Linked DNA regions of Xenopus tropicalis. Each later gene encodes a partner of the first gene's protein in a complex. Links are inferred from orthologs where the notes say so. Each region holds a gene or a part of one and is shown on either strand. Other genes may lie near its edges.

Region 1 (11,492 bases):
TGTGCATTTAGGTCAATGGAATGCATCGGCAGAGAAAACGTAAAAATGACCCTGCATTTCATAAAAGTTAATGTACCTGTATTCATAGTGCAACCACATTACATACTTTTTACTTGCTTACCATAGTTATGTTGTTTCCATTTAATAATATTTGATCAAGTTTTGTAATTCGTCTTCCTTCTGGAGTGATTTCACTAAAACATACACAAACAAAGAATGACTGTTTCATGCTTAGCAAAATTATTTTAATTCTAGAACATTAACAGTGTTTCAGTAAAATGAACAAGCTGAATCTTTCATCTGCCCATTGTGTGTATCTCCCCTTCCTCAGACTGTAAGCTCTTCAGTGCAGGGACCACATTCCAGCTGTGCACTGAAAATCTGTACTTATGCATTTATTCTTATGGTTTCATTTCTAAATATTCCTGTGTGTCTTGCATATATTTTTGGTGCTATATTGATAAATACAATACAGTTACATTAAGTTGCCCTTTCACAGGCAGAAAATAACTGTAGACGTAGTCCCTTATTCACCCATATATTGGCCTACAACAGCTTCCTTGTTGATTGGGTATCTGTCGAATATAAATGAGGTCAGTTGCAAAATCATGTCAGCGTGAATCTTCCAGTATATAGGCAACTTTGGACTGATATTATTATGTGTTTTATGAAATAAGTTTTACATTAGTATTATTTTACTTAGACTATAAAGACTGAGGGAAAAGTTAATCTTTCTTTACAGCACTCTACTTTGCATAATTCCATTTGTAAAGATTAGTAACAACTGATATGCTCTTTTTTTCCTCTGCTGACCAGTTATACAGTGGTGTGAAAAACTATTTGCCCCCTTCCTGATTTCTTATTCTTTTGCATGTTTGTCACACAAAATGTTTCTGATCATCAAACACATTTAACTATTAGTCAAAGACAACACAAGTAAACACAAAATGCAGTTTTTATATGAGGGTTTTTATTATTTAGGGAGAAAAAAAAAAACAAACCTACATGGCCCTGTGTGAAAAAGTAATTGCCCCCTGAACCTAATAACTGGTTGGGCCACCCTTAGCAGCAATAACTGCAATCAAGCGTTTGTGATAACTTGCAACGAGTCTTTTACAGCGCTCTGGAGGAATTTTGGCCCACTCATCTTTGCAGAATTGTTGTAATTCAGCTTTATTTGAGGGTTTTCTAGCATGAACCGCCTTTTTAAGGTCATGCCACAACATCTCAATAGGATTCAGGTCAGGACTTTGACTAGGCCACTCCAAAGTCTTCATTTTGTTTTTCTTCAGCCATTCAGAGGTGGATTTGCTGGTGTGTTTTGGGTCATTGTCCTGCTGCAGCACCCAAGATCGCTTCAGCTTGAGTTGAAGAACAGATGGCCGGACATTCTCCTACAGGATTTTTTGGTAGACAGTAGAATTCATGGTTCCATCTATCACAGCAAGCCTTCCAGGTCCTGAAGCAGCAAAACAACCCCAGACCATCACACTACCACCCCCATATTTTACTGTTGGTATGATGTTCTTTTTCTGAAATGCTGTGTTACTTTTACGCCAGATGTAACAGGACACGCACCTTCCAAAAAGTTCAACTTTTGTCTCGTCGGTCCACAAGGTATTTTCCCAAAAGTCTTGGCAATCATTGAGATGTTTTTTTAGCAAAATTGAGACGAGCCTTAATGTTCTTTTTGCTTAAAAGTGGTTTGCGCCTTGGAAATCTGCCATGCAGGCCGTTTTTGCCCAGTCTCTTTCTTATGGTGGAGTCGTGAACACTGACCTTAATTGAGGCAAGTGAGGCCTGCAGTTCTTTAGATGTTGTCCTGGGGTCTTTTGTGGCCTCTCGGATGAGTTGTCTCTGCGCTCTTGGGGCAATCACTTTTTCACACAGGGCCATGTAGATTTGGAGCTTTTTTTCTCCCTTAATAACGTAAACCTTCATTTAAAAACTGCATTTTGTGTTCAATTATGTTATCTTTGACTAATAGTTAACGGTTTTTGATGAGCAGAAACATTTAAGTGTGACAAACATGCAGAAGAATAAGAAATCAGGAAGGAGGCAAATAGTTTTTCACACCACTGTACATGCACAGTAACAGAAAACCACAATTGATATCCACTAAAGGTTGATGCATCTACTATGAATATTTTGACTGAAGCAGCATCTTTTTTTTATTGTCTATTTAAAGGGGAATTTCAGTTCTAATCTGGTTGTTTTAACTTTAAAGTTATTCGCTGCAAAAACAGGTGTACAGATATGCATATACATCAGTTATGATAAATAATTAGAAATAAAGCCCTTTCGATATCTGGAATTGTAGTATGTCTTTGAGAACATATGCCTCCAGACTTACTTCAGTTACATAAAAACGACAGACATGGACATGTAAACCAGCACAATGCAGGAATTTAAATGAAAAGCAAAAAAATTTACGTTAAAAAACATCTATATAAAACGTTCTACATGGTAACTTCTTAAAAAAGTAAAAATATCAACCAGTTTTTAATTACCAAGTAAAGCACTTTTGTTATCACCAAACACAATACAGGTATGGGATCCCTTATCTGGAAACCCTTTCTAATTTTTTTTTTTTTTTATATATAAATGATTTTTATTGATTTTAAACAGAAAAAAATATTCTGTTACATATCTTTCAAGAATTTTCTCTTGTTAATATCACAGGGTACATTGCTTCTACTTTATACAATTCTCAAATTGCTAGACTATATACAGTGATACAGGTTTACAGATTAGTGACAATATGATAGAAATCAGTAGTGGGGTCACAATTTGATCATTCTTTACTGTTTGTCTTATTTAGTCAAAGTTAGTGTCAAGTTATTATATGCAGATTCATATTTTAGAAAATGTACTTCCATATTTAGAGGAAACCCGTTCTAATTTTTAAAAATGATTACTTTCTTCTCTGTTATTATAAAACAGTACCTTGTACTTGATCCCAACTAAGATATAATTAATCCTTATTGGAGGCAAAACAATCCTATTGGGTTTATTAAATATTTCAATGATTTTTAGTAGACTTAAGTTAAGGGGATCTAAATTACGAAAGACCCCTTATCCAGAAAACCCCAGGTCCCGAGCATTCTGGATAAAAGGCCCCATACCTGTATGTAAAATGCAAATAAAATGAATATTATTTTTATTCGACAGATCTCAAGAATGAAACAATGCACTGCTTGGTATAAAAATTACTGTATCTTGGTAAAGAAGTTCTTGAGCAAGTGCAAATAGAATAAAAAAAATCTGTATCCAGACGGAACGGTACTTACAATTCTGTAACATCTTCTAGCACCATGTCTGAAGAAATGAATCAAGGTTAAAAGTATGAGGTTCTATGTGGTTTGAGGAAAAACTATGAAGAAGCACAGATGCGGAAGAATGCTATTTTATGCCATTAAAATCTATGACAAAGATCCCCAGTAAGCCTATAAAGTACTCTGGCTAACTTAGCTGTTGATTGTACACTTTCCAGCTTTGGCCCTCAGGTCAATTTGCCCATGCACAGATGGCAAAAAGCACAAATCACAGAGGAACTGAGAGCAAGACACAGTCCCAGCCAGTGTTTAATCCCATTCTGCTGATACATAAGTATGTGCTTTTGACAATGCAAAACTTCAACTCCCAGTTGAGCCGATAGTAGAAAACTAAAGAATGTTGTACTATAACATCTAGAACAGTGTTTTTCAACCTTTTTTGGGCAAAGGCACACTTGTTTCATGAAAAAAATCACGAGGCACACCACCATTAGAAAATGTTAAAAAATTTAACTCTGTGCCCAGCAGCAGTGCCCCCCTAGTACATTGGTGCCAAGAGCAGTGCCCCCCTAGTACATTGGTGCCAAGAGCAGTGCCCCCCTAGTACATTGGTGCCAAGAGCAGTGCCCCCCTAGTACACTGGTGCCCAGCAGCAGTGCCCCCCTAGTACATTGGTGCCAAGAGCAGTGCCCCCCTAGTACATTGGTGCCAAGAGCAGTGCCCCCCTAGTACATTGGTGCCCAGCAGCAGTGCCCCCCTAGTACACTGGTGCCAAGAGCAGTGCCCCCCTAGTACACTGGTGCCCAGCAGCAGTGCCCCCCTAGTACATTGGTGCCAAGAGCAGTGCCCCCCTAGTACATTGGTGCCAAGAGCAGTGCCCCCCTAGTACATTGGTGCCAAGAGCAGTGCCCCCCTAGTACACTGGTGCCCAGCAGCAGTGCCCCCCTAGTACATTGGTGCCAAGAGCAGTGCCCCCCTAGTACATTGGTGCCAAGAGCAGTGCCCCCCTAGTACACTGGTGCCCAGCAGCAGTGCCCCCCTAGTACATTGGTGCCAAGAGCAGTGCCCCCCTAGAACATTGGTGCCAAGAGCAGTGCCCCCCTAGTACATTGGTGCCAAGAGCAGTGCCCCCCTAGTACATTGGTGCCCAGCAGCAGTGCCCCCCTAGTACACTGGTGCCAAGAGCAGTGCCCCCCTAGTACACTGGTGCCCAGCAGCAGTGCCCCCCTAGTACATTGGTGCCAAGAGCAGTGCCCCCCTAGTACATTGGTGCCCAGCAGCAGTGCCCCCCTAGTACATTGGTGCCAAGAGCAGTGCCCCCCTAGTACATTGGTGCCCAGCAGCAGTGCCCCCCTAGTACATTGGTGCCCAGCAGCAGTGCCCCCCTAGTACATTGGTGCCCAGCAGCAGTGCCCCCCTAGTACATTGGTGCCCAGCAGCAGTGCCCCCCTAGTACATTGGTGCCCAGCAGCAGTGCCCCCCTAGTACATTGGTGCCCAGCAGCAGTGCCCCCCTAGTACATTGGTGCCCAGCAGCAGTGCCCCCCTAGTACATTGGTGCCCAGCAGCAGTGCCCCCCTAGTACATTGGTGCCCAGCAGCAGTGCCCCCATAAGTCAGTGTGCCCCGTGGCCCCCCCTAATACATTGGTGCCCAGCAGCATTTTACTCTTCGGCGGCTTCAGCAGCATCTTCCCCTCACGCGCGCCGCCTCTGCACTTCTGCCTACACGCGACCGCACACAGGCCCTTTTATAACGTTGCGCCCCGTGCGTACTGACGTCACCCGTACACACGGGGCGCAACCAATGACAGGGCCCGGATTTTTTTTTTAAAGTAAAAATTGCGGCCCTGCCTACGGCACACCAGGCAACATCTCGCGGCACAAACAGTGGTTGAAAAACGCTGATCTAGAATGCTGAATGGAGTCTATTGCTGATGGTAAATCGGTATTTTATTTTGGTACATTCTAAATTAGTATAACTGAAGCAATAAACAAAAAACTAAGCGTAAGCAGACAAAGGATACTGACAAAATCATCAAAGCCAAGAAGTGTTCCAACAATTTCTTTATCACTCTTCATAACAATATGAATGCGAGATCCTATGCACTTGTCCACAAGCTCTGCAAGATCAGAAATAAAAAAAAAATTAAGAATACACTTTAAAATAAGGCAAAAATAAAGTAAAAATACATGTTAAAATACAAAAAATAATTTTACATTGTGTATATATTAATTAGGTTTGAAAGTAAAACTTGAACAATCAAAGGTTTCTAAATTGTGGTGGTAAATACTTATCGCCTGTCAAATATTTTTTGAACTTCAGACTAAAAGCACATTTTAGTATAAAAATGTATTTGAATGTACTTGGATCTTAAGCTGCATAACTGAAAGGAAAGAGGGCGACTAAACCTAAGTCTGAAAACCACTGATTTAAACCTTCAGGAATAAAAAAAAAAAAAAAGAAAAAAAGCATAGTTTTGTTTGGTAGTTTGCAGTAGAAAGATGTATTTAGCCATTTTTGCCTTAATAAAAATATGTACTTTCGGAAAATATACGGTTTTCGAGGGGCTCCGTATTGTTAGGACGTCTTATGGTACATAATACACATACCGGGTGCTTCTATTGCAGCAGCCAGTATCAGAGATGAACATTTCTATTTCATCTCGGACACTTGGGGGCTGATTTACTAACCCACGAATCCAAATGGGAAAAATTCCGATTGGAAAACGAACATTTTGCAACTTTTTCGTATTTTTTGCGATTTTTTCGTCGCCGTTACGACTTTTTCGTAAATTGTCGCAACTTTTTCGTAGCCGTTACGACTTGCGCAAATTGTCATGACTTTTTCGTAGCCGTTACGATTTGCTCGTATCTTGTCGCGACTTTTTCGTATTGAGCGCTCGTAAACTGCGGGCAAAACTTTCAGACTTAGCATGATTTTGGAAGCCTCCCATAGGACTCTGCAGCTCCAACCTGGCCCAAGAAAAGTCACGATACTGAAGCTTGAATGAATCCGAAACTTTCGTACTCGGCGCGAAGGCTACGAAAAAGTTGTGACAATTCGCGCAAGTCGTAACGCAACGAAAAAGTCACAACAATTTGCGAAACAGTCGTAACGGCTACGAAAAAGTCGCGACAATTTACGAAAAAAATCGCAAAATACAGACCATTACGAAAAAAACGCATTCGGACACTTTCGGACCGTTCGTGGATTAGTAAATCAGCCCCTTGGAGTCATTTAGAGTAGAAAGACACGGTTATCTATTTCGGATTTGGTTGAATGTGCACTTTTAAAAAATATAAATGGTATCCTGGGGTAAACCTAATGTTTCAGGATTTTTGGCTATGGAATCTAAAGTATGCCCTATTCTGCTGTAACACTTTTTTCAATAACTTACTGCTGGGAGTTTTCGATCTATAGAAGTCAGACATCTCCATAAAATTATACATACCTAGTATAGGCACATTCAAGAGATATTAGGCTTTCTGAATAAGTTGAAATTTTATCCATAAAATAAAAGATTTTTCTGGTATAAATCCCTATAATCATATTTTTTTTTTTTTCTTTTATTTGCCTTTAGAGCTCTAAATCTTGTTCCAGAAGTGGAAATACACAAAAACTCAGATTTAGAGCTCAGGTTCTCAAGAAAAGAATGATGTACAGTTTTCCTAGGTAAACTAAAAATCAACTAGAAAATAATTCTGTTCTTTTTTTATCTGCTTACAATTAAAAGGTTCAGTATAAAATATAAATTGTCTAACGCAGGGCTGCCATGCGGCTCCATCATTTGCCCGATAACCTAAAGCACGTCACCTAGCAGGTGCTGTTTAACCCAAGCAACAGTGCTAACTCCAGGTACACTACATCTGTACTTCACAACCCTAGTAAGCCACATACATATCAGAATTCTACAACAAATATGAGTTCAAAGAAAGCATGTCGCATGAAATAGGACAGCGCCATTGAAGATAAAAGCCAATTAGTAACTGCACACTAAAGGTCTCGAACTGGAATAGATCTAGTCACATATTTCCTAGAGTCCTTACCGAGCGGGAGAAGCTGCGACGGATTGGGAGTCACGGTAGCCGCCATCTTTGATATTCCTTACTTCGGATTTCCTCCTGTTTTCGTAATCTCCCGCTGTCACCTACCTAGAGCAATCGATTGCCGATCTCATTATGCAGTCGAGCGCAAGCGCTAAAAACTTCCTGGTTAGGGAAGATTAATCAACAGACGAGCAGAAAAAGGCCTTATATGGCGGAAGAGAGCGAACAGGGGACGTGGGCGTGGCTAGAAGAATGTTTCAAAGCAATGATTGCAAAAGTTGTTGTTGCGCCAGAATAATGAATGTTCAAAAAATCGGCTTGGCTTCATTGCGATTGCTAATTGGCCGGGTATTTTGTCAGATGTAGAATAACCAGCAGCTCTGGACTCTGTACAGCATATTAACCATCCACTTCAACCACTCACGTTTAGGTAAATTAATAGGAGCCCCGATCAATACAGAACAAATTACGGGGGCCCAGGTGCCAACTTAGACGAGTACATTCGAAGTATAGAACTTTTTCAGATGTTTTTGTATGTAGCAGGTGCTCAGCTTGAATCAGCTCTTAGGAGGCATGAAAGTACCTCTGGCCTGTGTTTTGTTTAACTAAAAGGGGAAAGGATTGCAGTCACTTCTGTACCTAAACATTAGCATTTATAGGGGATATACTTTATCCAGAAAATTATATATTTCTGTTTTAATTTTTTGTAGGGTAGTGTTCAATTACAAAACTCATAAATATTGTTTTATCTTAGAGGACAAGAATTTGTAAGCCACCCCTTGATACTGTACTTTAGAGGCATTATGCTGCTTGCCTGCCCTCCAAGGTGTTGAACAACTGCACAGTTTGCTTGGTTCCTGCACATTACATGAGCATAGTGTTGAGGGCCATAGATGATTGATATTAGTCACCTTTTTTTTAACTACTTGTATTTAAACTTTAAAAATTCAGCATGATTCATTCAAAGTCTCTGCTGCTACAAAAAAGTTTAGTTTTTGTAACTGTCATTAAAACTTCTACCTAATTTCAAGATTTCTGCATGTAGAGTGACAGTGTGTCATTTGCTTACTAAAACTCAATGTTTTGAAACCTAACATTCTGAAATTTCCAGAACCAGTTCCCAACTTCCTGCTAAGATCACTTAGAAACCTTCTGTTTACCTAAGCCTTCATTTAGTTTTTCTCAACTGCTGCCTTTTTTAAGCTTTGAGATAAAGAGCAAATAATTATGTCAAGGGCTTACCTGTGGATTGGTAATCACGTGGGTCAAAATATAATGACTGATACAAAAACGTGAGGTAGTAACTTTTGCCATCCAACACCACGTCTGTCGGAAGGGAATGCTGCATGCTGCTCCTGCAGCCACAAGGATAAAAACTGATGGTGTTGGAAAGACTTCTTTTTCTCTCAATGTAATACATTGACTGTCAGATGTAAGTGCATGAACAAAATAAAAATCCAACTTTATCTGATCTGACATTAAAATTACAGCCTATGCAGATTAGATTTTGTAGGGTCCTAAAAAATCTTGTGCTGTTGCATTGCATTGTGTGGCGTTGCATGACAAGATCAGATAAAATATGACCCACAAAATCTGATAAAAAGCACTGGTAGGATTTAGCTCTTAAGGTGGCCATACACGGGCCGATTGTAGCTACAGATATCAGTCCCTTGGACCGATACGGCAACTTATCAGCCCGTGTAGGGTTAACAACGACTGGCCTGCACGACCGATATCTGTCCTAGAAATTGTCCCCGAACCGACTGCACCTATTCCAGTCGTTATAATTCCCCTGATATCGCCCACCCGTAGGTGGGATATCAGGAGAAGATCCGCTCACTTGGCGACCTCACCAGGCGAGCAGATCTTTACATGTATGGCCACCTTTAGAGTTCTCTGAGGTGTGTTTGAACTAATGATGATAAAGGGTGTATACAGTCCTTTTTAAATTTGTATATACAACATTTGGTTCTGAATATCTTGAATTACTTAAGGGACACACAACAGATCTATTATGTAAAAAAAAAATTTACAAGAAAACAGGTTATATTAGTTAGAGACTTACCACCTTGTCTTGTATATTCCTGAATAATTGTCTAAGTCTTGTTTTAACTAAACACTACTTTTGGTTTGGTGACTGTAGTGGGTGTGGAAAATGCTCTAAAGTGTGCAGGTTTTTAAATAGGCTGGAACAGTGGTTGTTCCTTAAAGGAGAAGGAAAGTCATTTTGGCATTTTACTGCCAATAGATTAGCCACATTAGTGCAAGCTAGAACACTATATTTATTCTGCAGAAAACTTTACCATACCTGAGTAAACAGCCCTGGAAGCTCCCTCCCATTGTTTATGATAGAAGCTGCCATTTTAGTCTGGTCTATCAAAAGAACACAGGGTTTTGTCTCTTTTTTGTAAATGTGTTCTTAGGGTATCTGACTTTCTCTCTCAGAACAATCCTTCATTCCTGGGGCCAGAGTCTGTGCAGTTCTCTCATCTGTCCCCTCTTCTGCTCCCCCCTCCCATAAGAATGCCAAAAAGTTCCTCCTCCCTCCCTTAGGAATGTGTAATCTAAGCCAGGGGTCCCCAAACTTTTTAGTACCATGGCCCGGTAGGAGGCAAAAATATTTTTGCAGAGGGGGCGGGCCATGGCGCGAACTTCAGGCGCGTAATACATGCGATGTGCTGGGGGGGTGCGCTGCGGCCCACTGCCATGCCGTCCGCGGCCCGGCGGTTGGGGAACCCTGATCTAAGCTATAGGCTAAATTGCAAGCAGGAAGCTATAAAGACCAAGCTAAAATGGCAGCTGCAATCTTAAACAAACAGAGACAGCTTCTAGGTTTTCTGTAGAATAAATATAGCATTATAGGTGGCACTAATTGGGAAAATCTATTGGCAGTAACATGCCAAAATGACTTTCCTTCTCCTTTAACCCAGCTTATACACTGCAAATAAAAAATTATAGGATTTAATATATGTTGTAACTTTACTGGACCTTTACTGAGCAGCTTTTTCTAGCCAAAATGCTACTTTGCCCAAACGCGGTTTAACAGTACTGTTAAAAATATAATATCGTGTTGATTGGTTCCTTATAGTGCATAGCCGCACGGATCCAGCTCTTCCAGTTCCAGGCATCTTCTGGAGCTAAACCATGACCTCAATCTGCCATAGCTCTGCTTTCCAATCCTACACAACAGCCAATCAGCACACTACTTGGCGATGACGAGTCACGCTTGTTGTTCGAGTGGGTTAGGCTAGGTAGCCATGGCGGTGATGTCACGCCGGGGCTGACAGTGACATCTGACTGCAGAGAGGAGCCTGAGACACTGGGTAGGAAGCAAAAGAGAGTGGGGAAGGGAGTGAGCATCTGCCTTAGGAGAAGGAGGAGATCCTGGCAGGGAAATCAGCAACAAAGGGAGAGGCTGGACGCGGAAAAGATAAGGGAACCAGATAAGAGTGAATGCTGGGAAGAAAGCGCTAGGGGAGTTGACTTTTAAACTGAGAGGCTATCCCCAGGCGTTGCATACCCCCGCTGCGGTATTCCTTTGCTGTCTGGACCCGGATTATAGTATGTCCGCGACTTGTTCCAGGGGAGTTCTGTGCTGACAATCCTCACAGCCTCCGCAGGAACGGCAAGCAAGCGGGGGGCACAGCAGAGCGTTTCCTGACATCTCCGGCACTAACCCCACGCATGGATGCCCAGGCTGCGGAGGAGGCTGCTGGGGGCGGCAACAGGGTGCCAGGGGGACCTGTACTGCACATAGTGGTGGTGGGCTTCCACCACAAGAAGGGCTGCCAGGTGAGGAATGCAATGGCTTCTTTCTGTATATAACACTTTAACCCTCTCACAGGATTGACACTAGAATGTATTATTTGTCACTTTTTAATAGCTTTCGTGGTGCATGTCTGAATTGCAAAACAGTTGAAACACCTGTGTATTTCACATCCTTAACAGCAGTAGCTCTTTTATATTTACTACCTATACTGGTTTGTAGTCTACTAATCGTAGTTTAACAGCTGCTTTCATTCTAGTACAGATAATAGGTACAGATAATAGGTACAGATAATAGGTACAGATAATAGGTACAGATAATAGGTGACTCCCGAGCAAGAAGCATTATCACTATAGGGGGCAGATTTATTAAGTTTATAGCTAAGTACATGTAACTCCCCCATG
Region 2 (11,673 bases), on another chromosome or scaffold:
GTCTGTTATATTTATCACATGATTTGAGAAAGGCTTCTGTCTGTTAGATGGATTTTATGGACAGGATAGATGCATTCTGTTCTCTTTGTTTTTATGTGTCTATGAAGTAACTAAAAACTTGATTTGGGGGGGCCATAAATCTGCTTCCTTGTTGTATTAACTATTTCATACTGAACTGGGGTTGTTCAACCACTAGCACTGCTTCCAACAGAGAGACTTGCACTAGCAACAATGGATCACACCAACAGGGATAAAATGGGATTCTGTTCTTATGTCACAAAAAGAAATAATATGAGTGGCCTGAAATTCAAAGGCAAAGGCCACAGTTTCATATTTGCAGTTTTTCAGTTGCAATCAGGGTCGGACTGGGCCGCCGGGACACCGGGAATAATCCCAGTGGGCCCAGGCAGCCCAGACCCGAACCCTTGCCGGTACTCCGCCTCCTGACCGCTCCTCCTCCGACGCGTCAACTTTACGCGCTTGGAGGAGGACGTCGGGTGGGGGGTTAGGGGGTCCCTGCGAGGGGGGTTAGGAGGGACCCTTCGGGGGGGGTTAGGGGACGCGCCTGGCTGGGGGCACCTGCAGGGTCCCTGGGACAGGAGCCCCGGTGGGCCCTTCACCCCACAGTCCGACCCTGGTTGCAATTGATTATTTTCCCATTTTGACACTCATTGCTTTTTATCACAGTTGCCCAGAGAAGTTGCTGTCATTGCAGCGTCACTTGAGCTTCCCTAACAGGTACCCTTCTCTCAAGGATATCTATTTGGGGACAGTAACTACTCCTCAGGATGAAAAATGCCTTCTTATAATTAATTTTACAGGGGTTAGACCCCTATTTGGTTAGATTAGATTGTATAGCTCGTCATTTCATTTGTTACTCCTTTATTTCTGCACTACAAATCTTAGTTTGAATCCAATAACAAATTATAAAAAAAAGAAAAATATGTTAAAATGAAAAATCTACTAAGTATTTTTTTATTATATTATAAAGGATTTAACCAGCGGCTTAACTACAATACAGCAGACCCAGGTGTGGGAGGCTCTGCCTGCAGGGCCTGTAATCCCACAAACCAATGCAATAGTTTGCTGCATGTCGAAAGTAAAGGAGCAGCAGGTGGTGGTGCAGTGTTTGCGTGGCTATGCCCCAGGCTGCCCTGAATATTTTTGGAGGGGGGTAGTTATGCCACTGGATGCAAGTTCCCCTTTTTGTGTGGGACATAGCCTAGAGAGTGTACCCAAAGCTTTGTGGGATGAATATGTTTGTAATGGATAAGGGGTGTAATGGCTATTCTCTAGTCTATAAAAGGGAAGGGATACCATAGTCCTTTCTCTATGAAGAAAGCATGTGCTGCTGGAGACAGGGGGTCTCAGTAAGAACCCTGGACCCAAAGGTAGGCCAGACAACAAATAGTTGATTAAAGGGACTCCATGAATAAGGACTTGTAGTTAATGAGCAGACCTATATAGTTTATTATATTAATTACAATATTTTACTGTTCTTAAGTTATTTGTACACTGGGTCCGACTGGCCCACCGGCAAAAATGCTTGTGGGCCCTGACCCTGTTGGGCCCTGCCACCAGCCCACAAGCCAGCCGCAGGACTGTCAATGGCTGGGGATGGAGAGGGAAGTGGCAGTGGCTGGATGGTGGGCTCTTGAGTCAGGTAACATAGGTACCCATGTTCAACTCTGTTTGCACAGATATACCCCATTCATGTGACACTTCATTTCATGATGATAGTAAATTGGAATTTGGATGCAAATTACTGACAGCGGGTGACTGGGCTCCTACTGAAGGTGAGGGGGGTTAAAATGGACCTGTCACCATAAAAAATAACTCCAATTTCTTTTCTATTGTGTTTGTCAAGCACAATAAACTTCACTTACACTATATAAATACTAGAATAATGTTTCCTTCAGTTTTGGAATTCACAGAAAACAGGTAGGTGCCATTTTGTGGAAGGCAAGTTTTGTATAATACCATAATCTTGTTTATGTGCCAGATCTGATACCCATGCCCATGCACTGGCTGCACAATTAGATGGTAAGAAGGGTGGGGGATTTGAGGAGTGCAGTTACATCTAGAAAATGCTGAATGTAAAGTGAATGTAACTGTCTGCCCTGCCTCTATACCTAGGGCATAGAGGCACAGCTGGCAATATATTATTGACATCTGGGATTTTTAAATGCCTTTATAATGGGTATGTGTGTGTTAATAAAAAAAAAGAATTTGGGTTTCATGTTTAATTTAAAAAGAACTTTTATTATACAGCTTTTTATGCCTGAGTGACAGGTTCCCTTTAAAATATGGCCATACTTGCAAAATGAGTTGACATATCTATGAGGTAAGGCACAATCTCATATGTTTCTATAATGTGTATCCTTGGGAGCACAATATTGAAGTTGCTCATCATTAGACCAGCTTGCATGTATAGTATCCCAAGGCAAGTTCCATGTATAACACTATACCACCTAACAAATAGTTGAATACAAACAGTGACAATTTCACATACAATTCCTTCCTGAACACCTTGCAAGAGGAATGTTGTACCAGTTATATATACAGATGAAACCACTTTGGTTTGTGTGTTTAACACAGAATAACTACACTTGTTTAACTTAGCCCATTTAACACAGAAAATTGCATCACAGCAACTTATCTAATTAAGGAGTTTTTTCTTAGGCCTCATGTGAACAATGGTGGTATTGTATGCTCTTGAAAAGGTTAAATGCATTAAATCAGTTAACATGAGTTAAGATAACATACTTTCTTTAGTTTCTCTCAAGTCATGACCAGGGCCGCTCCTACCATGAGGCATGGTGAGAACCTTGCCCCAGATGGCAGGGTGCGGCCAGTTACCAGGGGCAGAAAAAGATAAAATTCATTTTTTAATGCTGAGAGTGCAATAGTGCTCTCTGCAGTAGTGATGAGGCCCCCTTTGGACCCGCTCTGATGCTAAAGTCATAAGCACGGAGCGGGTGCTGCCTCAGGCGGTAGCAGTAGTGATGTGTGGGCTGGCTGGATACTCGCGGGTTGGGCAGGTTGGGTACATCACATGCGGGTTCTGGTTGAGTGCTTCGGCTCGCTCCATAACCTGCCGGCCTGTGTCTTCTGGCTTCTTAATTTATAGCACCCGCCCCACCCTTTGGTGATGTCATTGCGGGGCAGGCACAGGTCTTTATCAGGATGGGGTCAGAAAAAATGTTCTCGACCTGCACATCACTAGGCAGCAGCCCCAGAATTGTCGCTGGTCATGACGCATTAAACATATGAATACAAGTTCCTTCATTGGTATATACTCCACAACACAAAACAAATATGGTGCTTATTTTATATGAAATGAAGTTAAGCGGAGATTTAAGTGCATATTTTTTACAGCGGGTGACTGGGCTATTTCTGCTGGTAACCAGTTTAAATCAGGGTGATTTCCCAAAAATGCAGGTGAGTTGACATGTTTGCATGGGTGTCAAGCACTCCGGACTCAAAAGGATCTGCTAAAACTCGAACTTTATTCCATCATGTTTAAAAGCTTTTAAACATGATGGAATAAAGTTCGAGTTTTAGCAGATCCTTTTGAGTCCGGAGTGCTTGACGTCCTATTTCTAGATTTGGAGATATCTCCCTTCAGCTGCGGGTTCGGGGCTTTGAGCACCCGGACCATTATGGGACTTTGGTGAGCATTTTGATTCCTCTGTTTCTGAATCACCTGAGATGAACATTTGAATATTTGAACCTTAAGCGATTGACTCGGGGTTTGAACACCCGAGTCAAATTGATTACTTGGTATTTACCTTACTTTCATATTTCTAAATACAAGTTGGTGAGCAGATTATTTATTTAGCTGCCAAGTTCGCTTATTCTTTGCTTATTTGGCTAGCTATTAAATTAATTAATTCATTTATTTGCATATCATATTAGTTATTTTCATTTTTGTACATTTTAATTCCTTCCGAGGAATCTTAAACAGTTACGCTCACAGAGCGTCTCCTCATCCCCTATGTTTGCATGGGTGGGTTCATGGCAGTTGCAGGGCAGATTCAAGTTCTGGATGTGAAAGCTAGTTACCCAGCAATTACCAAATGAATGAAAACAAAAAAAAAAAAATATTGTATAATTGTTTATAGTTATAAGCAGAGAAGACCTAAACAGCAATAAAGACAGGTATAAAGTGACAATTTAGAGGAGTGAGTGAGCTTCCCCCACACCATGCTTATAAACAATTTGCAGGATTTCCAATTTGGTGTCAGTCACTGGCCTCTTGGTGACTGCACATATATTTCTTAAGGTGCCCACACACCTTCAGATCCGCTCGCTTGGTGATGTCGCCAAGCGAGCAGATCTTCTCCCAATATCCCCCACCTACGTGTGGGCGATATGGGGAGAATCCAGGCTAATTCCCTGGGGCCAAACGATCGCATTATAAAGACGGGTATAGGTGAAGTCGTTCCAGGGACCGCATCAACGAGCTGATACGGTCCCCGATCCAACTAGATTTTTTAACCTGCCCGATCGATATCTGGCCCAATTTCAGGCCAGATATTGGTCGGGCAGGCCCATCGGTAGTGCCCATACACGGGCTGATTAGCTGCTAGAATTGGCCCGTGTACAGGGACCATTAGGTGCCATGACATTCACCACTTTAATAAGGATATTTGCAAATACATGGTGTACAGCAGGTAATGAATCAGTAAAGATTTCAGATGAATAATACCAGGCTCCAATTGAATAATGTCATGCCACACACAGCTTATCAGTATTAGTAATCATTTTTGATGCTAGTGACATTTTGTGTGGCTGATTAAAGTAAACTGACCCTTCAATCAGAAAGGATTATATGGGAAGTTTCAGAAAATCAAAGTAGCTTACCATAAGTAAAGTGCATGTGCCTGTATAAAATAGATACAAAAATAAATATATGTAAAATAAAAATACGTATACATTTGCGTCAACTCAAAGAAATGTATTACGTTTAGCAAGTAAGAGTAATGCTGAATCAGAACACGTTTTTAAAGTTGGAGGCGAGGTTTCTTTACTAGAATGACTTATAATGGCATGGTGCAGGGATTCAAAGCCATGAAACATACAGGATATCCCAGCCATTACTACATACAAGAGGTGCAGAGGAGCCACAGCGCCGCCTCTCGCCCTGATTGGACGCATCATTTCCCGTGTTAACGTCATCGTCCCCTTTTGACCCCCGGTAGGCGGTGCCTCATTCAGGAACCCGATTTACTTCCGTACGGCGCACACGGCTTTCGCTTGTTTTTGGATTGTCCTGAGACGGACACCGTAAAAAGGGGTAGGAAGGAGAGAGGCGGGAGAAAAGGCATCGCACGGGATACAGGGTGAGAATTACAGGGTGGCTTATGGCCGCCTGTAGTATTTGCATTGATGCACACCATCTAGTATGGTTAGTGCTCATTACGTTCAGAGAAAAGTAGGTAACAACAATAATTAACCTAAATGTGTGGCTCCCGCGGTGTCTATGCGAAGCGAATTCTGGGAGTTGTAGTTCATCCCAGGTGTGTGGCCGCTGCATTACATTGGGATTGTATTATGTATTGTTCAGCTATAATGTTTCGAAGTAGATTTGCTACAGGCACCCTTTTCTTGATACATATTTGTATTGCTCCCGGCAGGTGGGTATTGTAATTCCTGAGCAATATACTGATTACCAGCAGGCTGTACTAGAGGGGCTCAGTGCCAAGTACATGAGAGCTCCTCTCACAGGGGCTGTATAGATCTCCCTGCTACATCAGAGGGATGGAGCTTCTTACTTATAGATTTAGAATCATTTGTAAGTTTAAGCCCAGCTACAGTGTGTCAGTGTTGGGCTCTAGCCCTAATGTATGTAAGCCCTAATATATCTATGTTATCAGTGAGCTTTTCCACTTAATATTTTATTCTGGCAGTAACCAACATGCTTGAGGCTGTCACTGACAGATTTCCTCTGCTCTAATTGGCTGATACCAGCATGAGTCACATTTGTATCAGACTGCTGACAGACACCATGGTGGATATGTTTGTACAGGTATGGGATCCTTTATCCGGAGACCCATTATCCAGAAAGCTCCGAATTACGGAAAGCCCCTCTCCCATAGACTCCATTTTAATCAAATAATTCAGATTTTTTAAATTGATTCCCTTTTTCTCTGTAATAATAAAACAGTACCTTGTATTTGATCCCAACTAAGATATAATTAATCCTTATTGGATACAAAACAATCCTATTGGGTTTAATTAATGTTTTATTGTTTTTTTAAGTAGACTTAAGGTATGAAGATCCACGTTACAGAAAGACCCCTTATCCGGAATACCCTTGGTCGCTAGCATTCTGGATAACTGGTCCTATACCTGTAGTAGGAAACGTTTAGGCTGAGGAAGCACAGTATTTCTTAGAAATGATAAGAGACACTGAATAAAAACCTTTGATAAATACAATAATATATCAGGGAATTTGAGGACTGTGGAGTCGGTACATAAATCCTCGGAACAGTAACACAAAAAATGAAAGCATATAAAAGTAATTAAAATATAATGTACTAGTGCCCTACACTGGTAAACATTGTGTGTTTCCTTCAGAAACCCGAATATAGTTTATATAAACAAAGCTGCTGTGTAACCATGGGGGTAGCTGTACAAATTGAAAATAAGAAGAAAAGACACAGGTTACATAGCAGATAACAGATAAATTGTGTAGATTACCATTGTACCATTCTAAAGCGTGCATCTGTTATGTAACCTGTGCCTTTTCTCCTTTTTTCTAGCTTGAATGGCTGCCCCCATGGCTACACAACAGCTTATTTATATAAACTATATAGTCTTACTGAAGCAAACATGAAACTTTTACCAACACAGAAATACCCAATCTTAACCCGCCTGCTCCCAACCCTACCCGACCCAGCTTCTTCCCTTTATTTATAGACCTACTCCCGACCCTCCCCGCAATGACATCACGAAGGGGTGGGGCATGTCGGGCGCGCACCTATAAATTCCCAAGCTGGAATCGGAATATCAGCATTGTTAGGTCTCGGTCATGGAGGCTGACCGGAAGCACTCAACCCGAAGCCCACCCGCGACCCGCAGGTGATGTGCCAAGGTCGGCCTGACCTGCAGGTATTGGGCCAGCCCGCACATCAATAGTGCCCACTCCTTATTCTGCTGTAGACACTGAGGAATACAGAGCCTCCAGTTAGCTGTGATTTAACCCTGTTTTAACTGCTTTGTCTTCTGATTTTTTAGAACACATCTCTTATAGTGCTTTCCTGGCTTTCCTTTTAAAGGCTAGTTAAGACGAAGATATTTCTAACCAACTGCAGGCGAATGGATTGTCATTGCTGTTGGTTAAATTTGGTGGAATAGTTTAATAGAAAACTAAAGTTTAACATTTCTAGCCTGCTTCTTTTAGAGTTTAGTGTTTGTAGAGTTTATATTCTTTAAAATAGGACTTATACTCCACAATGTTTGCTGTGAATTCTGGACCAAAGCGGCAGTCTATTTGTATACCATATCATAGTGCAGATTTGCCAGTTCTAATGCACTAATCTGTGCTGTTAAATCATCAAACTGACAATAATGACCAACTGCAACTGATATAAAAATGCTGGTCTGAAAATGTGAATAATATATAATATCTGTAAAGCACTGAGGAATATGTTGGCACTATATAACAATAAGAGAATTATTTTGTCTTGAAACCTTTCTTTACAGTGAAAGGGAATTAGAATGAGCCTGCGCAAACAAACACCGAGTGACTTCTTAAAGCAGATTATTGGAAGACCAGTGGTTGTAAAGCTCAACTCTGGAGTCGATTATCGAGGTAAAGCTTAAAGTAAAAGGCAACCTGAATTCCTTTTATATCTATCTTTTATCAACATTTGGAATGAGGATTATGAAAAATGTATTTTTACAAATTCATTCTGGCTCTGTTTCATGTCCATGTTATAATACGTATTTTCCCTCACTTCAAAGTTTGCACATTCCAAAGCAATACATTTTCCCACAGATGCTGCTTAAATTTAAATATGCAAATCAGGGTTACGTTTGGGTCGTATTCTTCCTAAATGGGCGCAAGAACTTAATTATCATTGGCCTCTTTATTTAGTATTAATAGGTAGAGCTCTTTTGCCAGCCATGTGCAACAAATTTATACCCAGAACTGCTGCCCTTTTACTTTTCCAGGTGCCAGTTAACTTGCTTTTTGTTTGGTAACATTGCCAAATGCATTAACCATACATGTGTTCATTGGGGCCTTTAGTTACCCTTTAAAAAGGCTATTGTTATAGGCTAATTATCTAAGAAAAGCAAATCAAGGAAAATATCCAGAGGTCTTTGCAACAGTTATGTGCTTTTCCATCTATATTTACTACTGATATCTATCTGATTATATTGTTTTTTGTATTTTTCTTTTTATCTACACCACATATAGGTGTTCTGGCATGTTTAGATGGTTACATGAATATTGCTTTGGAACAAACAGAAGAGTATGTGAATGGACAGCTGAAGAACAAGTATGGGGATGCATTTATCCGAGGAAATAATGGTAATAATGGTGGTTCAAAAGAATTTGAGTCCTGCTTTTTAAATATATAAAAAAATGTTTTAAATGTAATTGCTCAGTAAAAAGTGTGATGTGGAACATTGCTATTGAACCCTGAAAGAAACTCTGTAACTGGCCAGGCATTTCTTCAGTGTAATAAAACTGCTGTACACGCAGTAGCACCCAGTAAACCTGTTATTCCTTAGTTGCACCTTTTAATTTAAAGACTTGTATTCCCTTTGATAGCTGTAAAATCAACCAGAATAACCTTCAATTTTGTTTGTGACCCTCAAATCCCAAGGACAAATACTTGTTATTGGGCTGTTAAGTAACCGTTCCTACTTTTTTATATTTAAAAAGATTGCTGGATATTTATTATACACATATGAAGCCTGCATCTCACAGATTTGCATTTTGTGTCCAGTACTCCCTAATGCTTTCTTAGATGCGATCTCTGGGAAAGCAGCATAAGAATAGTACAGTAAAAATACTGGCTTGTTGTGTGTTTGGTTTAGTAAGGTCTAATATAAACACATAAAATGGAACACCTTTTCACTTATTTAATAGTTTTATGACCTAAAAAGGTTATAGCTTTAAGTCAAACAATTCTTTGCTTTTATACTCTATAGAGTTTACAGTTTGGAGTTTAATTCTAACTTTAATATGTACTTGGGTATTTTTTTGCTGAAACCTGGCCTGCTGTGTCTCATTGGCTGTAAGGCAAACTTGCTGGTAGCACAGGTTCTGGCAGTTCTTGATTTGAAAATGCTGTATTGTCTGTATTGTATTGCATTTTTTGTGATTATTTATTTCAGGTGGACCCTGGTAGTCAATCAGAAACAGCAGTTGTAGCTTAAGGTGCTACTTCACTAGCTAAAAAAAAACCCTGGCAGATGAACACCTTAAGGGTGAAGACACACAAAGCTACTTAGTAGCAGCTACTTGTCATGGCTACTTAACGCCAAAATATACCCTGCCATAGACAATACTGAGAATTTCCTTTGCTAAAACATACGTAGAGACAATTATCTGTAAATGATCAGTATTGTCTATTTTTGTAACTGCTACTAGTAGCTCAGTGTGTCTTCACCCTTAATCATAGAGGAACAGATTACATTTTCACTCATCCATCCCTTTTCTGCAGATCAGGAAGCTACTGCTGGCTTCCTGTTGAAATCCAGTGCTTTGTTAACCTGAAAGATAATGACTAGAACTCTATACACTGCATAGTATTGATACTTTGTCAGCCAGTGTTTGTAGTGTATGGAAAATACATTTTCAATATAAGATGTATCTATCTGAAATAACAAAACTTTCTAAATATAATCATGTAAAAATTGTCATGTTTGTGAAATAACCAAGTTACTCTTCACTCCCCCACTCATCACCTGCCTTTCTTTATTCTCTCTTCATGCAGTAGGTGGAGTCAGGTTTTGATTGACAGGTCTAATATGTTCTTTGGGGTGGTTGCACCCTTTCCTTAGAAGAGGTATTCAAGCTGACTCTTCCAAAAGTAACACACGTCTGCTAGTAAAGAGGCCCCCCCCCCCCCCCCAAAAAAAAAGGTGTTAGACCTAACTGCCTTCTCTGACTTCTGCATAAAGAAAAGAGGTTGCTGAGAGGGGCAGAGTGAAAAGTAACATGATTATTTCCGAATTTTAATTTACGTTAAGAAAGTTATCCTATTAATGATATAAAGGGTGTTTTCTCATCATGGGTATACATGGGCCCCAAGATGGCTTCCCTCACCAGGAACTCTGGTTCGGGCATCATAGCACTTACAAGTGGATATTTCTTGTGCAATACTGTTTTTTCCTCTAACTGGAATGCAGACTGTATTAGACATCTACGAATAAAATTTGTATTATAGACATAGTTTAAAAACATTCTATACCACACAAAATACATACCTTTATATAAATGTCCCACCTACAGTTGAATCCTTAAGTTGACATACACCTATGGTAAAGATGACTTTGCTAGTATTTAGTTAAAACATCTTTAGCATAGGTGTATTTAACCTTTAGGTCTTAACTGTATTTGTGGCTGAATTGATAGAATTGCAGAAAAACAAGACATGGAAGTGATTGTTTATGTGAATTTTTTTTTTCTCTTTGCAGTTTTGTATATTAGCACTCAGAAGAGGAGGATGTGACCTGTGTTTTTTTTAATTTACTTTTCATTTTTAATTATATTATGTTCTTTGCATTAAGAGCGCAGCATTTTGGACTTCAGAAGATCAAGGTCTATACATTTATGTTTGAGACTTAAGATGAAGTTGCATTGCTAAATACATTTTGAAAAGAAAAACACTTTTTCATAAAGTTTGATAAACATTTTGGTTTATGATGATCTGTACTGCTGTAAAATAAACAACAGTCATGAAATTCAGTTTTGTTTTCATTATACAAGAAACTAATGTTTTTTTATAATAAAAAAAAATGCAAATATAACATTTAGGTTTGTATCAGAAATATCCTGAATTGTACTGGGGTTTCCCACTGTTTAGCTGTGAATTTGATGCCCAGTATTATGGGAGCAGCTTAGATACAAATAGTGCCATTCACTAGTTACCAGTTGTGTCTGCTATTGGGGGAATCCTGTGCCAGAATATTCCGCCAGACTGGACACTATAATAAAGTAATGCTGTTTTTCAGTCATTGCAGTATTGCAGGAACAGCTCGAGGGGCAAATGGTGATTAAGGAGTACAAAGCAAGCATATAAAAAATATTCACCATCTTTTTTTTAAGTCCTGAGAGTACTACCTTCTAGGGAGATATGTATACACAAAAACAGAACTGCTCCCTTAAATTTTATAGGCAGTTACACTTCATACAGGTCACTAGAACAATACTGTATCTTTCCCTACAGTCTTATTTTTTTTTTTTTGGGGGGGAGGGGTTTGATAATTTTCCTACTCTTCATACAGGCACCCTGTACTCATGGCTGTTGTGACCCTTTTTTTAAAGGCTTTATTTACCTTTGAGTTAATTTTCATTATGATGTTGACTAATGTTCTGAGACAATTTGAAACTGGTTTCCTGTTTGGAATGTTAGCAGCTATTTGGTTGCTAGGATCCAAATTACCTTAGCAACCAGGGTGTGGTTTGAATGAAACACATATGAATAGGAG

What was found.
Region 2: lsm5 (region 1) and lsm6 share a complex: the UniProt entries of both Homo sapiens proteins name them as parts of the precatalytic spliceosome. The link is inferred for Xenopus tropicalis from reciprocal best matches to the Homo sapiens genes LSM5 and LSM6.

The regions. Positions count from the first base shown.
Region 1 is NC_030682.2:61,888,840-61,900,331, forward strand, and holds the start of lsm5 (U6 snRNA-associated Sm-like protein LSm5), read right to left. Parts: upstream 7,486-11,492; 5' UTR 7,369-7,485; coding exon 7,323-7,368; intron 5,396-7,322; coding exon 5,300-5,395; intron 3,319-5,299; coding exon 3,291-3,318; intron 195-3,290; coding exon 122-194; intron 1-121. Other genes in the region: late secretory pathway protein AVL9 homolog, read left to right, coding at 11,007-11,114. UniProt on the Homo sapiens protein: Plays a role in pre-mRNA splicing as component of the U4/U6-U5 tri-snRNP complex that is involved in spliceosome assembly, and as component of the precatalytic spliceosome (spliceosome B complex).
Region 2 is NC_030677.2:58,331,010-58,342,682, reverse strand, and holds lsm6 (U6 snRNA-associated Sm-like protein LSm6), read left to right. Parts: upstream 1-5,258; 5' UTR 5,259-5,345; exon of another isoform or gene 5,346-5,522; intron 5,523-6,929; exon of another isoform or gene 6,930-7,116; intron 7,117-7,710; 5' UTR 7,711-7,725; coding exon 7,726-7,819; intron 7,820-8,428; coding exon 8,429-8,542; intron 8,543-10,659; coding exon 10,660-10,694; 3' UTR 10,695-10,926; downstream 10,927-11,673. UniProt on the Homo sapiens protein: Plays a role in pre-mRNA splicing as component of the U4/U6-U5 tri-snRNP complex that is involved in spliceosome assembly, and as component of the precatalytic spliceosome (spliceosome B complex).